Linked DNA regions of Canis lupus familiaris. The protein of the gene in region 1 interacts with the protein of each later gene in a pairwise test. Links are inferred from orthologs where the notes say so. Each region holds a gene or a part of one and is shown on either strand. Other genes may lie near its edges.

What was found.
Region 2: the proteins of IGF1R (region 1) and YWHAB interact in a two-hybrid assay, tested with the Homo sapiens proteins (2 studies listed by IntAct). The link is inferred for Canis lupus familiaris from reciprocal best matches to the Homo sapiens genes IGF1R and YWHAB.
Region 3: the proteins of IGF1R (region 1) and KCNIP3 interact in binary tests that used the Homo sapiens proteins (3 or more experiments, as listed by UniProt). The two-hybrid records come from large-scale screens. The link is inferred for Canis lupus familiaris from reciprocal best matches to the Homo sapiens genes IGF1R and KCNIP3.
Region 4: the proteins of IGF1R (region 1) and SHC1 interact in a two-hybrid assay, tested with the Homo sapiens proteins (4 studies listed by BioGRID and IntAct). The link is inferred for Canis lupus familiaris from reciprocal best matches to the Homo sapiens genes IGF1R and SHC1.

Annotation. Positions count from the first base shown.
Region 1 is NC_049224.1:42,430,463-42,435,582, reverse strand, and holds part of IGF1R (insulin-like growth factor 1 receptor), read right to left. Parts: intron 4,208-5,120; coding exon 3,969-4,207; intron 1,592-3,968; coding exon 1,424-1,591; intron 1,224-1,423; coding exon 1,019-1,223; intron 1-1,018. UniProt on the Homo sapiens protein: Receptor tyrosine kinase which mediates actions of insulin-like growth factor 1 (IGF1). Binds IGF1 with high affinity and IGF2 and insulin (INS) with a lower affinity. The activated IGF1R is involved in cell growth and survival control.
Region 2 is NC_049245.1:32,950,099-32,953,965, reverse strand, and holds part of YWHAB (14-3-3 protein beta/alpha), read right to left. Parts: coding exon 3,833-3,867; intron 2,526-3,832; coding exon 2,362-2,525; intron 1,479-2,361; coding exon 1,383-1,478; intron 1,067-1,382; coding exon 1,010-1,066; 3' UTR 1-1,009. UniProt on the Homo sapiens protein: Adapter protein implicated in the regulation of a large spectrum of both general and specialized signaling pathways. Binds to a large number of partners, usually by recognition of a phosphoserine or phosphothreonine motif.
Region 3 is NC_049238.1:34,901,898-34,907,041, forward strand, and holds the end of KCNIP3 (calsenilin), read right to left. Parts: intron 4,930-5,144; coding exon 4,825-4,929; intron 4,170-4,824; coding exon 4,107-4,169; intron 3,468-4,106; coding exon 3,420-3,467; 3' UTR 1,345-3,419; downstream 1-1,344. UniProt on the Homo sapiens protein: Calcium-dependent transcriptional repressor that binds to the DRE element of genes including PDYN and FOS. Affinity for DNA is reduced upon binding to calcium and enhanced by binding to magnesium. Seems to be involved in nociception.
Region 4 is NC_049228.1:42,490,779-42,495,194, reverse strand, and holds part of SHC1 (SHC-transforming protein 1), read right to left. Parts: intron 3,915-4,416; coding exon 3,844-3,914; intron 3,284-3,843; coding exon 3,220-3,283; intron 3,062-3,219; coding exon 2,942-3,061; intron 2,699-2,941; coding exon 2,645-2,698; intron 2,473-2,644; coding exon 2,421-2,472; intron 2,258-2,420; coding exon 2,131-2,257; intron 1,369-2,130; coding exon 1,170-1,368; intron 1,083-1,169; coding exon 1,013-1,082; intron 931-1,012; coding exon 799-930; intron 641-798; coding exon 402-640; intron 92-401; coding exon 1-91. UniProt on the Homo sapiens protein: Signaling adapter that couples activated growth factor receptors to signaling pathways. Participates in a signaling cascade initiated by activated KIT and KITLG/SCF.

The sequences.
Region 1 (5,120 bases):
CCACATCTTGCCATTTTGGCCATTTTCAAGTGTATAATTCAGTGGCATTGATTATATTCATGATGTAATCACCATCATCACTGTTTCCAAAATCTTTCATTGCCTCAAACAGAAGCTCTTAGACTCGTTAAAGCCAAACTCCCCGTTTCTCCCTCCCAGCCCCCTAGCCCCTGGAAACCTCGAATGCACCTTCTGTCACAAATTGGCCTCTGGTAGATGCCTCATATGTGTGGAATCCTATAATATCTGCTCCTTTTGTGTCTGGCTTCTTTCACTTAGCATAATGTTTTCAAGGTCCATCCAAGTTGTGCCCCTTGTCAGAATCTCATTCCTTTCCATGGTTGGGTAATATTCCATTGCGTGGATAGATCATATTTTGCCTATCCATTCATCTACTGATGGACACGTGGGTTGCTCCCAGCTTTGGCTACTGTGAATAGTGCGGCTTTGCATATTTACCTTCCTCCATTTTTGTCCTCACTTAGTGGAAACGGGGACTGGGGCAGGGGAGCAGATGGATTCCTGGGGACAGAGACCGCTTTACCCTGAAAGGCTGTCCTCTACGCTGCTCCTCAAACGTGTGTGTCAGGGATGCCTGTGGCACCTGGTTGTGCTTGGAGGTTGGGGCACTTACAAAACTCACTCTGGCTTCACTTCTCAGCCTGGCTTTGAGAGGCAGCAGGGAAGAGTGGTGCGATGGACAGAAAGGGCCCTCCATTCACTGGTGTCTGAGGGTGTGAGCCTCTCCAAGTTTCACTTACCTGTCCCCACAGCTGAGAGCCCACCTGCCTCTGCGGGAGGCTGTGTGGCTGGGGCGGCCCCTCCGTCAGGGCTAACCGGCTTCCACAGCCCCTACCTCACTCAACCAAGCTGATACCTTGTTTTGTTGGTCCTTCCCCTGATGGCCATAGGTTCTGCCAGGAGGCTGCTGACCTATAAACCCCCCTGAGTGGGGACAAAGCAACGGAACCTGCCTGAGGACTAGCAGCCTGGAGATGTTCTCAAATGGCAGTGGTACCTGGGCACGAAGATGGAGTTGTGCAGGAAATTCTCGAACACTTTGCGGTACTCGGCCTCCTCCTTCTCAGCCTGCTTCTCGGCCTCAGTTTTGGGGCAGGCACAGCAAGGCCCCTTCTCTCCACCACATACTTCGGTCTTGGGATTCTCTGTCACCTCTTCGACATCGATAGTGCCATCAGCATACTTCCTGATGGGGATTTTATCTACTCAGGAAAGACAAGCCCAGCAGGAATAGAAATCAATAGGTTGTATGTGCTGGGGAGGAAAAGGGGTCGCCACCAGCACACTCAGTGGAGAATGTAGCCGAGTTCTGACAAGGGGCCGCATGTTACATTGGGGCCTGGATCCATTCGGATGCTGGGGTTTGGTCCCAAGCCCCCTCGCTTCTATCCCTCCCACTCACCTTTGGAGCAGTAGTTGTGGCGGTAAAGGTAACTGTCCTGGGGCTGCCGCTGCCACCTCACGATGTAGTAACTGAGGTTACCGTTGGGCAGAGAGGGTGGGTTCCACTTCACAATGAGCTGAGAAGAGGAGTTTGATGCAGAAAGAACATCCAGGGGAATGGAAGGAACTGGAGAGAGCAACAGAGGACATTTCAGAACATGGAATGAACCCAAAACCCAGGCTGGCAGGTAGTCATAGCAAACCAACAAGAAGCCACAGGCATGACCTGGGTGAGGACACAGTGAACATAGATCCATGAGATGACAAGTAAATCTTTCTTTGAAATCGTATTAATTTAGGGGCACTTAGGTGGTTCAGTGGTTGAGCATCTGCCTTTGGCTCAGGTCATGATCCCCTCATTCATTCACAGAATGAATGAGGCAGGACTAGGAAAAGCAGTCCACAAACCCAAGCATACACAGAGCCTTGGCTGCAAGCAATAGACTCTGTTAGCAGCCAAAGAATACTGATTTACAGATAAAGCATAATAATCTGGTCAAGTTTTATGTACTACTGCCTCCCAAACCCAAACCCAGAGCTGCCTTATGTATAAAGGGCAATCACATCTCAGGACCAGCGAAATCGTATTTTCCTTGGGTTCACAAGAAAACACTGATTTTCATGGGTTTTCCAAAGTAAAGAGTAAAGAGACCTCTTTACTGTAGATCACTTACACAACATGGCCATCCAAGCCACTTTTAAAATTTCAAAGGGCAAAGAGCTTGAGGGTACTTTAAGGCCCATAATATCATACACAAGATTCTGAACACCTGTTTGGAGTGATGCTTTAGGAAGAAGTTGTGACTAATGCCAGATTTTTCAGGAAAAACAACCACGGGATGCTCGGCCACTTTCAGATTTCCAAAGTCAATATCTCAAGAATAAATAGCGTACCCCTCGATGTTTCAAGTCTAAGTATCACAAAAAAGCTGAAGCAGAGGACTTACTGGGCCTTCCTCTCTTTCTGCCACTTGAAAGGACAGGGGCCAAAATGTAGGGAACTGGCCCAATTTGTATGGTGCTTAGTTTTCCATCTTTGGGGAAGGGAAATGGGTTTAAGAATTCATCATATAATAAGGGGCACTTGAGTGGCTTAGTCAGTTGGGCAGCTGACTCTGGATTTTAGCTCAGGTCATGGTCTCAGGATCCTGAGATCGAGCCCCACATTGGGCTCTGTTTGGTGGGGAGTCTGCTTGAGGACTCTCTCTCTCCCTCTCTGTCCCTCTCCCTCAGCTCACTCTCTCTCTAAAGTAAATGAATTAATCTTTATTTTATTATTTTTAAAGACTTTATTTATTTATTCCTGAGAGACACAAAGAGAGAGGCAGAGACACAGGCAGAGGAAGAAGCAGGCTTCCAGCATGGAGCCTGATATGGGACTTAATCCCAGGACCTTGGGATCACAACCTGAGCCAAAGGCAGACACTCAACCACTGAGCCACCCAGGTGCCCCTGAATGGATCTTAAAAAAAAAGAAAAAAAAAAAAAAAGAAAGAAAAGAATTTGTCATAAAAAGGAAAGATTCGTATTTTTCCTGAGCTGGCAACAATAATTTACTTCCAAACCTTAGGAAGCATAACTTGTTTTGTTGCCTTTGAGCCTCTGCTATACTACCCACATCCAGGATCAGAAGCCTGTGCCAGATTTACTTCTATAAACACTTTAGGATCTGTGACATGATTGTGACCACTTATGGGATCCCTGAGATGGAGGAAGGGAGGAAGAAGCAGGCATGCAGGAGCCAAAGGTTTTCCCCATAAACACTTTTTCTTTACCCTCTCCACCATTTAAACTTGTTTTGTGCTACCTTAAGGGTATTCTTTAAAAACCCCTATCATCCAAGGATATTTATCATTGTCTTTAGAAATGATGTGGATTTTCCTACCTCTAAGCTGGTTTTCATATACTTAGCTAATACACAGAAACGTTTGCTTTCATTAGTTCCAGACTCTGGGGTTGAGAAAAATGAGGTGGTTTAGAAAATGAAGACAGAGACAGAAAGAGGAACACTTTTACCAGTGAATATCTGGAATGTCCACAACATACATACTCTGTCTGACATTTCCAAATTCTGTCTACCTTCGTGGGACCCGGTCCCTACAGAATGAAGATGGAAAACCAAGTAGCCACATGAGGTAAATGGGACACGAACTTAGCATGTTTTCAGTTCCTGGAGGTTCAGCTATGAAAATAAAACAGGGGGCTGTATCCTGGAGGGGTCCTCCGAAAAAAACCACCCCAGCCTCCTGGAGGACCTGGGCTCACTGGTGCAGGGCAGACAGATGATAGGAGATGGGTCAGAAAATGGCCCAGGAGAGCCCAGGGTATTGGGACTGAGAAAAATAGTATGACAGAGCATTAGTTATTGGTAAGAAAGATACATAAAAAGCAGACTGGTCCAGGTTCAAGAGAAACAACAGGCACATGTGTTGCTGGCCCTCTGCCTACACTTGTCATAAGCAAGCATGGTGAGCTTGAATATGGGATGGGCGGTGTGCAGATACCTGAAGCATTGGTGCGAATGTACAAGATTTCACTCTTAGCCCCACGGATGTGGTCATTCTCCACCATGGTGAGGGTCACCGCCTTGACATAAACCGCATACTGCGTCCAGGGCTTCAGTCCGTGCAGTAAAATGCCAGGCTCAACGTCCTTGTTGGGAGGGAGGTCCACATCTACCATATTCCAGCTGTTGGAGCCACAGGCATCCTGCCCATCATACTCCGTAACGTTTTTAAAAGGTCTGCAAGACAGTGGGTGAAACTCAGAGAAAGTTTTAGGTCTCTGACATCAAAACCCTCAGAAACCTTTCCCAAGGGCCAAGCACATCACACTTTCTATTTTTAAAAAAATATTTTATTTATGTACTCATGAGACACAGAGAGAAAGAGGCAGAGACATAAGCAGAGGGAGAAGCAGGCTCTCTGCAGGAGCCCAATGTGGGACTTGATCCCAGACCCCAGGATCATGCCCAAGTCAAAGGCAAACACTCAATTGCTGAGCCACCCAGGCGTCCCGTCACACTTTCTATAATGGGAATTAGAAATACATGGTCAATTAGATTTGTACAGAAGGATAAAATTAAGCAACGGGACCCCAGGTTTCACCACATTTACAAACACACTGTAGAACTGCATACTCTGCCTCAAGAAAAATAAATTCTAATTGTTGCTGGGATTGAAAACTCAGCTCCTTAAGCATACAAGCAAATGCTATTTTTCTCTTTTCCAATTGTGGCATTTTTCACCATTAAGAACAAAATAAGCATAATAATTTAATGCAAACATTAGCTACTGAGGAAGAATAAAACTTTTGGGGAGAAAGGACTTTTACTACAGAAGAACAGCTTCCAACATAGAGCTTTCAAAATCTCAATGGCTCGCAAACAATTGTGATTGCTTAAGTATTTTATGATATTCAAGTATTTAGCTTCCAGATTGTCTCTGAAACTAACACTGACTCCTTGGTGAGATTACCAGGTGAAAATGCCAAAGCACTGGTGGAAGCATCAAAGAGAGAATATTTTGCACACATTCTTGGGCAGGTAGGGGTTCTCCATCAATCAGATGAAAGGGTCAGACAGACCCTAGCCGCTGGCTTCTGAAACAGATATTAACATGGCCCTCCCTGTCATCATAACAGAAGACCATGAATGA
Region 2 (3,867 bases), on another chromosome or scaffold:
GAAAAAAAACGTAAGGAAGCAGGACAGATGTTTAAAGACTGAAAAGAAAAACCAGAGTCAACAGTCAAAAAAAGGACAGGGGGAAGAATGTTTCGATTTCAAAATTTAAAAGCCCCAAGCTAGAAAGCACTCAAAGGCTGAGTACTTCTCAGGTGGAAGGCAATCTCTGCAGAACATTACTCTTAAAGGTATGACCCAGGAAACAGATATGCGGCTTTTTTCCTTTTCTTCTCTAGGTCCCAGTTACAAGGGAAACAGATTCCACTGCTAGAGCGCAAGGTGCAAATCAGTAAGATGGCTACGGGAAAGGGGTGCTAGTCACGTGTTTTAGGAGCACTGGACCTTTTTCATGGTGTCAAACCCAATTATCTGCCACAAAGAGTTCAGGCTACTTCAGGCTTCAAGTTTACTCGGAGGAAGACACTGGACATCTGCAGTCATGAACTTTTGAGTGGCAACAGCCCAAACTGGCCAAGTGTCTGTAATCCCTCCCAAACAGGCAGAATGACTGTGAGTTACTGTCACACTTGAATGTCACAGGACAGGTGTCTCACTCTGCGTCCCAGCTTCACAATATAATCTCTATAGCTTTCTGTACAACTTTACAATGGAACTGTTATTTCAGTGACTAGTTTGATATCAGATTAAACTTTCCAAAAAGTTACACATAATTCAGATCTATTTTTTTCTACCAGTAAGAGTTCTGCGAAGTTACAAAACCCCATAATCACAGTGTTCAGTTTAAAAAAAAATTCAACACACAGTAATCCTGTCAATGTTAATCAAAACCAAAACTTCAGAATGCCGTGGCATTTATGTGACCAATCTGAGTTTTAGATACAAACACCAGCTGTTTATCCCGTGGACCATTTTGCTAGGCTGAGGCTGTGAAAAATTGAAAGTCGACGTACGACTCTTTTTTTTTTTTTTTTTTTTTTTATCATCGCACAAAGGGATATATGTGGAGGGTACAGAGTGACACTGAACAGATCACGAAGTACAACAGACATTAGTTCTCTCCCTCCCCAGCATCTCCTTCATCTCCCTGGTTTTCCGACGTCCACAGCTGCAAGAGAAAAACAGAGCTATAATCAAAAATAGGGCTACTAACATTCACTCAGGGAGGTAGACCCAATCTGGGCCACCTTGTCTTGCGCTTAACTGCATTAAAATTCTTCCTGTATTACTGCAGCCAGTGAGGACTGCAAAGGGCAAAACTTTAGCAGTCATTTATAACCAATTTAACAACTTAATACTTTTAACTCTACTTACAGGGTACATATTCCCTCAAGTCTTGGGGAACAGTGAATTCTTAGATCAGTGAGTAGGTACAAGACTATATAAGCCCTCCAGAAGCAGTCGTGTAAACCAGCAGTACTTACAGTGAGATTGTCCCTAAGCAACTGCATGATCAGGGTGCTGTCTTTGTAAGACTCTTCATTCAGTGTATCCAATTCAGCAATTGCTTCATCAAAAGCCTAAAACAAAGAGCCTTTAATAGAGCTGTCACAGGTTCTCTGGAGCTAGTTTAGCCTAGTTTTTTTTCTGTTAACGAATATAATTTCTTTTCCTGTATGGGAGCTGAACTATTATGACCTTGTCTGCTGGCTGTATAAGCAAACAGGTAATGTATGTTTATAAAGCACTGACCAACACTGACACAAATTACCAGGTAAGAACTGGATTGTATGCGATGAAGACGGCAGGCATTACTGTCAACCCAGCACAAATTCACATCATTTTCTAATGGCCAAAGATACTATTGGTAATCCTTTGTTTCTTTACTAAACCTCAAAAGGTCTGGATATAAGGAATAAAGGGAGAACAGAAGTTCATACCACTAAATCTGATTCAATTAAGTGATGGACCTTAGAAAATTCATTTCATCTACTTTCTCCAAATTAAAAAAATTGTTAAATAACAGTATGCATGCTGAAAGACTAAAACCTGGTCTGACTTCTTTCATTTGCGTAGCTGAAACATCAAATCTTGCCACAAGGAATACAATACATAATGGAGGCTTACAGAGCCCAAAGTTTGACAAGAAACAATACGCTACCTTCCCCCTGAATTTTCTACAACCACCAGTAATTACACAATGAAAACAAACAAAAATCAGCAGGGTGTATTGAGAAGAAATAAAAAAGTGACAGGTCCATATTACTTTCACAAAAGATCTATTCCTATCTCCAGAACATCTTGTACCCTTTTTCTAAAAAGCTGTACCTTTTTAGATTATATTTTAAACTTACACTAAAATTTTATGAGAAGTCTAAGACAGGGAGTTGTTAAATTCAGGTAATAATAAGAAGTTACTAAAAAATGAGCAGTGTTTTACTATGACCAGAAGGTCTTTCTCACCGTTTTTGCCAGGCTGCAAGCCTTTTCAGGAGAATTTAGAATCTCATAGTAGAAGACGGAGAAATTCAGTGCCAGGCCAAGTCGAATTGGATGTGTAGGCTGCATTTCTTTCTTACTAATTTCAAATGCTTCCTGGTAAGCCTGCTGGGAGTTCGACACAGTGGCTATAAGAAAGACAAGAACATTAAAAGGGAGTTTTTACCTAGATGCATCACATGCTGGACCACAATCCAGTTATTTTACCATACCAGGCAGGAATGAGGAGTGATACTAATGAAGGATCAGTGTCTCCATCATCTGATTAATAATCATTTGTTAAATGTTTATTCTAAGCCAACTACTACATTAAATGCTTTGGGGGAAAGCAACAAGTATGACAAAGTATACTAAAGCAGTTTTTAAGAAATACAGAAATATGGGCAGCCCAGGTAGCTCAGCAGTTTAGTGCCGCCTTCAGCCCAGGGCCTGATCCTGGAGACCCGGGATCCCTGCATGGAGCCTGCTTCTCCCTCTGCCTGCGTCTCTGCCACTCTCTCTCTCTCTGTATCTCTCATTAATAAATAAACAAAATCTTATTAAAAAAAAAAAAAGAAATAAACTTTAACAAGATAGAACATGGGAAACAATATGCTCCAGTAGAAGAATCATGACTTGAGAGAGTCAACAGACCCAAACTTGAATTCCTAACTCATTCACTCAATGTGGGGCTCGGGCTTGAATAAGTAAAAACCCTGTGAGCCTTGGTTTCCTCATCAGAAAAACTGGCAGATCCTCACTGGAACTCCTAGAGTTGTGTAAGGAACAAATGAGACTCTAAAATACTTGGCACACAGTAGGCACTAAATAAAGCAGACCTATAGTTATTACCATCACAAAATGCACGTGATAAAAGAAATGCATTGCTATTTACTATGGTGGTTTTATAGTATCAGACATTTTAGTTTTATTTCTGAAAAGAGAGATACCAAATAATTCTCAAGATCTTTTTTTTTTTTTTTTAAGAAAAAGATCTCTTTATTTTTTTTAAAGAATCTTTTTTTTAAATTTATTTATGATAGTCACACAGAGAGAGAGAGAGAGGCAGAGACACAAGCAGAGGGAGAAGCAGGCTCCATTCACCGGGAGCCCGACGTGGGACTCGATCCCGGGTCTCCAGGATCGCGCCCCGGGCCAAAGGCAGGCGCCAAACCACTGCGCCACCCAGGGATCCCCGAAAAAGATCTCTTTAAATGCACTACTATACCACACTTTTAATGCCCTCTGCACTTTCCCCTTAGATACATTGTTGTCAACTCCCATGACCCTATTAATCACAGGTCAGCATAATGCTATGGTCTTTTAAATTCTCAGTACTATGATGTTCATGAGTATGCTGACCAAAGCAAAAACTGTTTAAAATGATTATGAAGGAGGACTGGCTCCACTATTGGTCAAATTTCTTAAAAAAGAAAAAAAAAAAAAAGTTACTTACTTTGTTTATTATCTCCAGATGCCACCTCCGAAAGA
Region 3 (5,144 bases), on another chromosome or scaffold:
AAGAAAAAAATCCAGGTAATACCACTCCTTAAAATGAGTTGGAAAGTGTTCCCTCCTCTCTTCTACACCAATACCCAGAGAGAAAGAGAAAGAGAGAGAGAGAGAGAGAGAGAGGATGAGACTTGTCCAAGGCTACATAAATGTTATGGCCCAGGTCAGGACTATCTTCTATCCCTGATCCCAGGGCTCCTTTGGATTCCTCACTGCCACCCAGCTACACAGAAGGCATAGCCTGGTCACCACCTATGTACTGTGTCCAGGTCAGGAAGGTGCTGAGTAAATGAGTGGAAAAACAGATATACAAATAGATGGATGATGGAGAATGGATCACGGATGGATGATGGATAGATGGGCTTTCCCCACTCTCAGCTCTGTAGACCATCATGAAGTAGGCAATTCAGTGCTTAAACCCAGCCTAGAGCTACCTGCTTGGTTCCATTCTTCAATGACTGAGCGGTCCTAATATCTTTTAACTCAGCTTTCCCATCTGTGCCCTTTAGGCTGTGACAAAGTGAACATGCTCAGCATGGTGGTTAGCCCGTGGCAAATGCAGGATATCCCATCCTGGACAGTAAGTTCAGGGCTTCCTTACCTGGATTGTGCCAAGCCCCTGGGGCACAAGTGGAGTGGCAGACTTTGGTGTGTGTGGTGGTGGAAGTGGATTCCTGTCATCTGTCCTCCCAACTACTGCTGAGATGCCCTATCAGCCAAACCTGGTGACTCATGGAGGCTTGGGTCTGTGTTCACTGTGGAGGTGATGTCACATGGCATGGGGTCTGGTCCTTAAAGCACTGCAGATCCCCCCGGAACTTCCCTCCTCCCCATCCTTGAGTTGGGAAAACCCCTTCCTCTCCTCCCTGCCAGGTTCTCATTTCTTACTCCTCCCCTAGCATAAACTCTCACTGAGTTTACACTTTTGAAAATAAAGCCAGGAAAAAAAAGATGTCTTCAGGCAGATTCTGCTTCTGCCCTGTAACCTGCACCCTCCAGCCAAGGGGACACAGCAGAAAGGACTTCTTGGAACTGGAAAAAAAAAAATGGTCTGGGAATGAAATACAAATGGCACCTCAAAAAGTCAGCCTGCTCCACTGGCTTTGCAGAGGTTGCAGGGCTGGAGCTTCTGGTAAAGGCTTCCCAACTGTGGGCATCTCTTCCTGGCTCCACCTTCAGTGACATCACAGTGGGAGCTTGAAATAAAATGAGCATGGAAATTGGCAATGCTACAATTCAGGGAATGTTAAACATTTACGAGCATCACCCTGGGCAGGAGCCATGGCTAATAGCAGCAGGGATAGGAGGGGCTGGACTGAAATCCAGAGTTGGGATAAAGCCAACAAGAGTCCCTCTTCTTTGTCAAGTTTATTTTATTAAAATATACAGGACTGAATATTGGTGGGCGCTGAGAACAGGAACCACCTTCCCAGGCTGCACCCAAGGGAGACGCTTCTGCCATGCAGACATGCGGCCAGTCCGCATCCCAGTGTGGGAGACAGACCCCTCCTGCTTGTACGTGCAGCCAGTCTGGCCCAAGGCCAAGAGGGGGCAGGGGCATGGTGGTGACACTCTCCTATGGCCTCGGCCCCTTAGAAGCACAGCTACACCAGCTGGGAGGGCCTAGGGGTGGGCGGAGGGGGAGAAGATCCCTGAGCCAGGGAAAGCTGATGCCCTCCTGGAGGAGGGAAGAAAGACTCCTCCACCCCAGTCAAACTGGAGATGGGGTGTCAGTACAACTCTGAGGGAGAGGGCCACCTGTGTGGTGTGGATGCCAAGGGGTCCCCGTGGACAAACCAGGCCAATTGCCATGGCCTCCACCATTCCACCTTTCCTTTGAGGGCCCTGCTCACCCTTGGGCCAGGCCTGAGCAGAGAGGGGGTGGCAGCCGGTGGAATGTATTGTACGGGAATGTTCCTCAGAAAGGCCCACGCTACCAGGGGGGTACTGGGTTCCTTCTTGGGGAGGCCTGAGCCAATGAGAGCAGCCTCTCTCTCTTTCCTGGAGGTTTCTGTCGACCTACCACTCTGCCTCAGGCCCCTCAGTTCTCACTCTTGGCTCTGCCTTCAGGCTGACATCAGCCTCCATCCCCAGAGCAGAACCCAGACAGGGAGAGTCCCTACGGTTTGTGCTTTTGAATGTTGGTGAGCTGGGCCGGGCTGGGCTGGGGACGGGCTTCGAGCCCGCACTGCTCTGAGGTACAGAACTGACCCCATGCTTCCTGCCCAGAGCTACCTGCATCGGGGCCATCGCAACCCAGGCCTCAGCCCGCTAGGAGGGCCTGATCTTGGAACAAGTGTCCTTGGCTTGCATTGTGGGCTGCCACCTGAGCTGCTCTGGGTGCTTGTGCTTTGTGTATGGGGTTGGATGAGCTGTGTAGAGAGGGTGACCACACTGCTAGAGGACCCTAACCAGGAAGTGGTAGTGGGGGGCCGCGGAAGATGAGCTGCTCAGAAAGGAGGCCTGCTCTGCCACCTGGGCTCCCTGGCTGCCAGTCCCTGAGCCTTGTGACCTCTTCTTAGAACCTATAATGACCTTGGGGTCGAACACTCTAGTGCCAGAGGGGTACGGTGGCCCCACCCACTTCATTCCCACTGAGCTAGGCCTAGGGCAAGGGAAGGCTTCTTCCATTTCAGTGGACTTGGCAGACAGTCCCCCTGATTCTCCACCAAGAAACCCAATCCCTGAGCTTGAAAGGCCCCCTTCCCAGGATGGAGAGAAGTGTCCAGTGGCCCCTTACCACTGGGGCTTGCCAGTGGAGTGGCAGGCAATTCCTGGGAATCCAAGGAAGCATTTCCAGGAAACAGCAGGCTGTCTCCATTACTACCTCTCTCTCCTAGTCCCAATTCTCTTGATCCCGCTGCCTGTCCCCCCTTGTCCTGTGGTGAAGTCCTGGGAGTGCAATCAGTGGGCAGGGAGTGGTTAAAGGACAAGAAGGCCAGAGTAGTTCCCAGAACTTGGCCCATGTGTGGTGAGAAGGAAGGGTAGTAGGAGGGAGGGGCAAGGGGACACACACCAGAGGGGCCTTTATTTTGGAGACCGGACCCTCTGCTGTAGGGGATCTTGAGCTCCTTCCTGACAGCACCCCATGGCCAGCAGCCTGCAAACACTGCTGTTTCAGTGCCCCCTCCAGAGGCAGCCCCACCCCCCTGGCCTGGACAGGGGCTGGCTGGGGTAGTCTGGCTCCCATCACCTGGATCCAACTCCCAGCCAGACTCAGTCCCTCCCTGACCTCTGCACCCCCTCTACCAGCCCAAAGGAATGGGCTGTGTGTGTATGTGTGTGTGTGTGTCTAGAGGAAACTGTTCACGTTTTGCAAATATATTAGAAAAAAAGTTTCTCATGGAGGCTGCTCCTGGCAGGACTGAGATTTCTTTGGGGGCAGAGGTGGCAGTGGCCACCCAAGGACCCCTCCCCACCGACATGTCCTAGATGACGTTCTCAAACAGCTGCATGGAGCTCATGATGTTCTCATCCTGTGTGGAGAGAGAAGGGGGATGAGAGGCCTGGTCAGACCCTGGGTGGACAGGGCAGAGCAGTGCCCAAATTGCTCCTACCTTGAGCAGATTCTTGCCGGGGACTCGGAACCCTACAGTGATCACTCTGTCTCACTGAGTGAAGGGGCAGCTGGTCAGGCCCAGCCTGTCTTCAGCCCCAGAGTCTGACTGCAAGCCCATCTAGGGGCTGCTGACTTGCTGATGGACACATTTCCCTGGCTGCACTCAGATGGAGGCCAGAGATACCTGAGAGGCCAATCTGGGAGTGATGCTGGTGGCTAAGGCCAGTGGAGGCACAAGGTCACACGCCCCAAGGGTGCTCTGAACAGGAAGATCCATGGCAATGCTGGGGGATCCTCCAGGCACCTTGATCACAGTGTGACCCTGTACTGAGGGCCACAGGGCCCATCATCCTCCCATTGGCCCATGTCTGTCCCCTCTGATGTGAGGCATTATGGGGCAGTCTGAGGAATGGCATGCCCTTGGACTGAGGGCTGGCAGGAGCTGGTGGCAATGGGATGGGCTCAGAGGAAAGTGCAAACATGGAGTTTGGAGGTTAGGAGGGGTTTGGGGACTGGCAGGGGACCCTGGGTATCCTCAACCCCTAATGCCACCTACCTTCTGACAGGTCTCCAGGAATTCATCAATGGTCACCACCCCATCTTGATTCCGGTCCATTTTCTGTAACCCAAGCCAAGCCCTCAGTGAGTCTCTGGGTCTGCTCCATCCCAACTTGTCCCCTCTGGCTTGTACTCTGGATCCAGGCCATATAAAGTGCCCTCCTCAGCTACCTGTTGTGGCACAGCTGACCTCTCTGCCATCTCCCCAGCCTGATCCCCACACCCAGCCATTTCCCAGCAGCTTCCTTGGGCTTACACTTACCAGAATGCATCCCCATGCTCCTCTGACCCCCTCATCTCCCTGACAGGCAGCCAGGGCAGATGGGGCCACCAGTACATGGGAGGTGGAAACTTTAGTCCCTTTCATCCCCCTGGACACAGAGCAAGGTTACTCCCAACCCCAATCCTCTTGCATTGTTTTTCTGGAGGAGCTGGGAGGGCTCTTGGAAGGCACCAGAACACTGGCCTGGTGTGTCAGCCCCATTGAATCCATAAGCCCTGGTCTGCCCTGAGATGAGGTTCAGTGGATTGGGGAGTGGGGATGATGTTTTCATTTGCTCACTGGGATCCTGACCAAGGTAGGGGATGCAAGTTTAACCTCCTCATGGCAGGATGGGGGCTCACAGAGGGGAGTGGCTTGCAGGGTTGTCCTAAGAGGAGGACCCCCTCCCTCCTCTATCTGCCCTTCCCCTCAAGTCCGGGGCTAGAGCTCTCACCTGGAAGAACCTCTCCACGTGCTCCAGAGGTGCGTCCTCCCGCAGGATAGGGTAGGTGTGGCGGCCCATCATGTCATAGATGGACTTCATAATGGCCAGCATCTCCTGGAGGCCAGAGGGGCTGGCATGAGCCTGGCTGCAAGGACGTAGGGAGGTACCAGGGCCCAAGGGGAGGGGCCCCATCAGAGGGTGGACGGCACCTCCAGGGCAGCAGTGAGTGAGCAGGAGGGTGCCCCAGCTGGAGAGAGATGAGCTCACTCCCATCTAGCGTAGGCAGTGCAAGCCTCTGACTCCAGAAGTTGGAGAGAGATTTTGATGTG
Region 4 (4,416 bases), on another chromosome or scaffold:
CACTGCCCGCAGAGATGATAGGCAAGTGATTGTCCACGTGGTAGCTGATGAGGTGGCTGACACTCTCAAAGCGGTGATCCTTTGTTCGAACCTGAGGAGTGGGAAGGGAGGGGGTCAATTCAGGTGAAGGGCATTGCCACCTCTCCAGGATGGTTTCCTCCTTTATCAAAAGAGGGGCTCAGGCAAAATGAACACCCAGCTCAAATGCACTTCAGGGCTGGGCATTTGAGGACTGAAAGGAACAGAGCTCAGGTTCAGGAGTCTGAGAAGGGAAGAATGCCTGCATCTACCTGCCAAGCAGGAAAAGCAGTAAGCAGGGAGGAAAGACGCATAGCTGCATGGAGCATGCTGCACCCTCCTTTCTGCCACGCCCTCCCCCCCCCAACTCCTGATACACTCACCACACCCTCCGGGTCCACCAGCAGCAGGTGCTTGGGCTGCCCACTCTGCAAGCCAGTGAGCACGTACTGGCCGGGTGTGGTCGTGCTCTCCCGCACCAGGAAGTCCCCATTGAGCTGCAGCAGGGCCTCGGCCTCCCGCCGGCTCAGCTTCCCATGGAACCAGGGCTCCCCTCGGAGCTGCTCAGCCATGGCCACCGCCTGGGGAGGTGGAGGCACCCGAAGCGCATCTTCGAAGGGCTCTGGGGGTTCAGAGAGAGGCCTGAGAGGCAACTGGCACAACACACACCCAGACCCAAACTTTCAGGGAGGGGAGGCCGGGAAGGAAAGAGCAGGACACAAGGGGAGGAACCCAGGGAGTAGGAAGACAGAGATGCAGAGTGGAGAGAGAAGCACTCACTCATATCAAAGAGATCTCGGGGCACGCTGCCATTGATGGCAGGATTGGGGGGCCCAGCCCCACCCCCTGCTTGCCGGGCCCTGTCTAGGTTCTGGACATTGACGTAGGATGGATCATCAAAGAGCTCTTTACCTGATAAGGAAACAGAGGCATCACCGTGACCCCAGCCCTGCCTCCACACCCCTGACTCTGCCCTTCCCAGCTCCCTTCACACCTGGGCAGGGTGGTGGAGGTGGCATCTGTTTGCGAATTTCTGGGTCTCCCCCAACAGGCTGCCCCACAGGCTGCAGAAACAAAAATGAAATGAGACCAGAAGCCCAAATTGGCCACTCCCATCCCAGGCCCAGCCCACCTCCATCCAAATAACTTACCAGCGTTGCTCCCAGGTGGCTGGGGGTCTGGACAACGTGTGGGGTGGGCCGAACAGCCCCCAGGGGGGCTGCTTCCCGAAGCCTCATGTCCACCACTCCCCCAAGAGGGGGCTCCTTCCCCGGGAAGTCATTATAGTACTGGTGGTCAGGTGGCTCTTCCTCCTCCTCATCCCAAGCTGAGCCGTCAAAACCAGCCATCCTGAGAGGGACAGGAGGGAACAAGGGGGCACAGACAGTGGCCATGGACTGGGTACTTCCTGCAGGGTGGGCCTGAGTCTGGGCGTTTCCTACACACAGGCATTCTATCCCCCTGGCAGCCCTGCAAGGTATCTATACCCCCTTCTCCAGTGATACAGGTGAGATGAGGAGCAGAGGTGGAGACGTTTGCTTATTGTTTCACAATTAAACGGTGGCAGACCTGAATGGTAACATCAGATTTGATTTAAAGTTCATGTTCTCAGTTATTATGCTATCTCCCAAGAGGAAGGGGAAGCACACAGTAGAAAGAAGGGATGCACTCCAGAATATTTTAACCTCCTCTAAATACTCAGTAGCTACTGATCTAAGGTGGGAAAGAAAGGTCGAGATCTCAGGAAAAAAGACACCCTCCCTCACCCAAATTCCTGATGGCTCTATGGGCAAGAAAGTGAAAAAATAAGGACGGAGAAATGGTCAAGAAAGAGAGACAGGCCAGCAGTGAGGTGGCTGAGGACAGAAGGGCAGAGCAGCAGCACGGTGGCCTGGCATACGAGAGGAAGAGCGGGCCTGCAGAAGCAGGCAGGACCTGGCCAGACTTTCCTGACGGCCACAGGAAACGTAAGAATAGCAGGAAGTGGGAAACAGGCACACAGGTTATTTCCCCCTGACCCTCTCTGAGCTCAAGCGTGGGCAGTGGAGCAGACCTGCTTTCTCAGTTCCAGCTAGTGCCTAGGAGCTGCCCATACCCTGCGCACCCGCTCACCTGTCATGAGGGGTGACCAGCTTGGGCGGGTTCCTGAGGTATTGTTTGAAGCGCAACTCGAAGGCCTGGCCGATGGTGCTGATGACATCCTGAGCAAGCCCTTCGGGACATTCCAGGATATGACAGGCTGGGGGCACAGTAAAGGCAGTCAGTGAGTTCTGGTGGACTGCTGGGAGGAGGCGCGGTCAGGGGCCTCATCTTCCCAGCCGAAGCCCTACTTAGCTACCCAGGTCCTGCTCACCTGCCTCACGGACAGCCGGCCCCACCCAGCGCTCCCCACCACGCCTCACCTCTCTGATTCACCGGGTCTTTGGCAACATAGGCGACGTACTCAGCTGTGTCCTGGGGTGGGCAGGGTCAGAAGAAGCCACTTAGCTCCAGTTTCCAGCCCACCTCATTCCTGACCCCTACACATCCTGGTCCTTTCCAGACACCACTTGGACCCCAGCACACCCTCTTTCCAGACAGCATGGCCCCTACTCCTCCCCCACCTCCACCCTGTTCCCCAACTCACCGGGTCCCCACCGGACGCAAAGGAGATAGACTGCATGTGGTGGTTGGCGATGATCTGAGGGTTAGGGCAGGGTACAGAGAAGGAAGGGAATAACACAGGTCAGGCAGCCTTGGGGCCTTCCTGGGCACCCCCAGCCCGGGCCCGGAGCCCTGGAGTGTCAGTCCCACCCTTTTGGCTTCTTAGCCCAGGTCCTCCTATGCTCCTCCTTCCTTCCTGTCTTAGCTCCTGGCCCTGTGGCCAGGTCCCCGCTCCGCTCTCCCAGCAGTGTTTCTGGCCCCCTTGCCCAACCCCACCAACCTGTTTGCAGTCTGCGGCCATAAGGTTGAGGCTGCTGGTGGAGACGGTGAGAGTGATTGGCATTCCCGCAAATTTCAGATTACTCCTCCCCAGGATGGCACTGAGTGGGCGGCTACAGGGCTAGGGAAGGGCCCAGAGTCTCAGAAGTTGGGGGCTCCCCACACCACGAATCCCCCTCCCTCCGCCTTTTGGCCTTCCCCCCACAGGTCCCAGACTTATCTTCCCCCTGCTCCTCCACATTTCCCAGCAGTGCCCCCAGCCCCATCAGCCCCAGGTACCTTTCTCCTTCTTGTAGCCCCCTTGGCACCGGGCACAGCCTCACACACCAGACTGATGGCCTCCCTGGAGAGAAAGGGGTCCTCAGACCCACAGCCTGCCTCCCACTCAGCTGGGGCTGCCACAGGGCAGGGGGAGGGGAAGACCAGGCCAGACTTCAGGGGCACTCCAGGCTCTTTGTCATGGTGGATTGAATTAAAGGCCTTTAATATTTGATGACACGGAGAGGCCACTTCCTGGCTGATTGGGTTAGGGCCTCTGTGAGTCTGGCCCCACCTACTTCCAGCGACCAAATGTCCCATTCCATCCCAAAGGCAGCAGCAATCTTCCATCCACCCCATTTTATACTCAGGCTCCAGCTGCCAGCTGCCTCTGCCACCTCTCCCACCATACACAGGACTGGATAAATAAGAAGGTCCCAGACCAGAGAGGTGCTGCTTTTCATTCAGACTTAGACTGATTCCCCTAACTTTCTCTCAATCCTTTATCCCTGAAGGTAAGCCATCACTAGCAAGTGACCAAGACCCACTCCCTCCTATACTCACTGATCCAGGAGCCCACTCCCCTATGTACCCCCTCTCCCCTCATTAATTCAGGAATCCCCAGTCTGCCCCCTCCCCACTAACCTGGTGACTTGGGTGCGGGTGTTGAAGTCCAAGGCACGCATTGACTGCAGGACCTCCACACAGCCCATGTACTGAAAGGAGGAAAGGAAGGTAACGAGTCAGCACCCCCTCCACAAAAAGAGTCCCAGGCCTTTCCCCTGAGTGCTTCCTACACTTGATCTTAGCCAAAAGGCTGACTCTGAAGAGTGAAGACCAAGTTTTGCCCACAGCCTGCGGCTACACCCACAATGTGCCAGACCACAGGAAATGAGGGGCGGAGGATCGAGCAAGCCAGGAGGGCCTGGACATCTGGGAAGAGGATCTCGAGGACAGTGATGGGCACTGGGGTGGGGGGTGGGGAAGGTGACATCCCCAGAGGGAGGAGGCTGGAGGATACAATCAGGACCGCTCATTCCCACACTTACTAAGGGTGGCAACGTGCTGGGCTTTGTGCTAAGCATGGCAGGGTGGGGGAGTCACCAGAAGTAAGGGGCCCAGGCAGAGCTGGATGGGAGGGGCCGCAGAATAAGAAAGGGGAAGAGAGAGGTGTGAGAAGCGATCCTGAAACCAAGGGAGGTACCGGCAAGAGCAGAA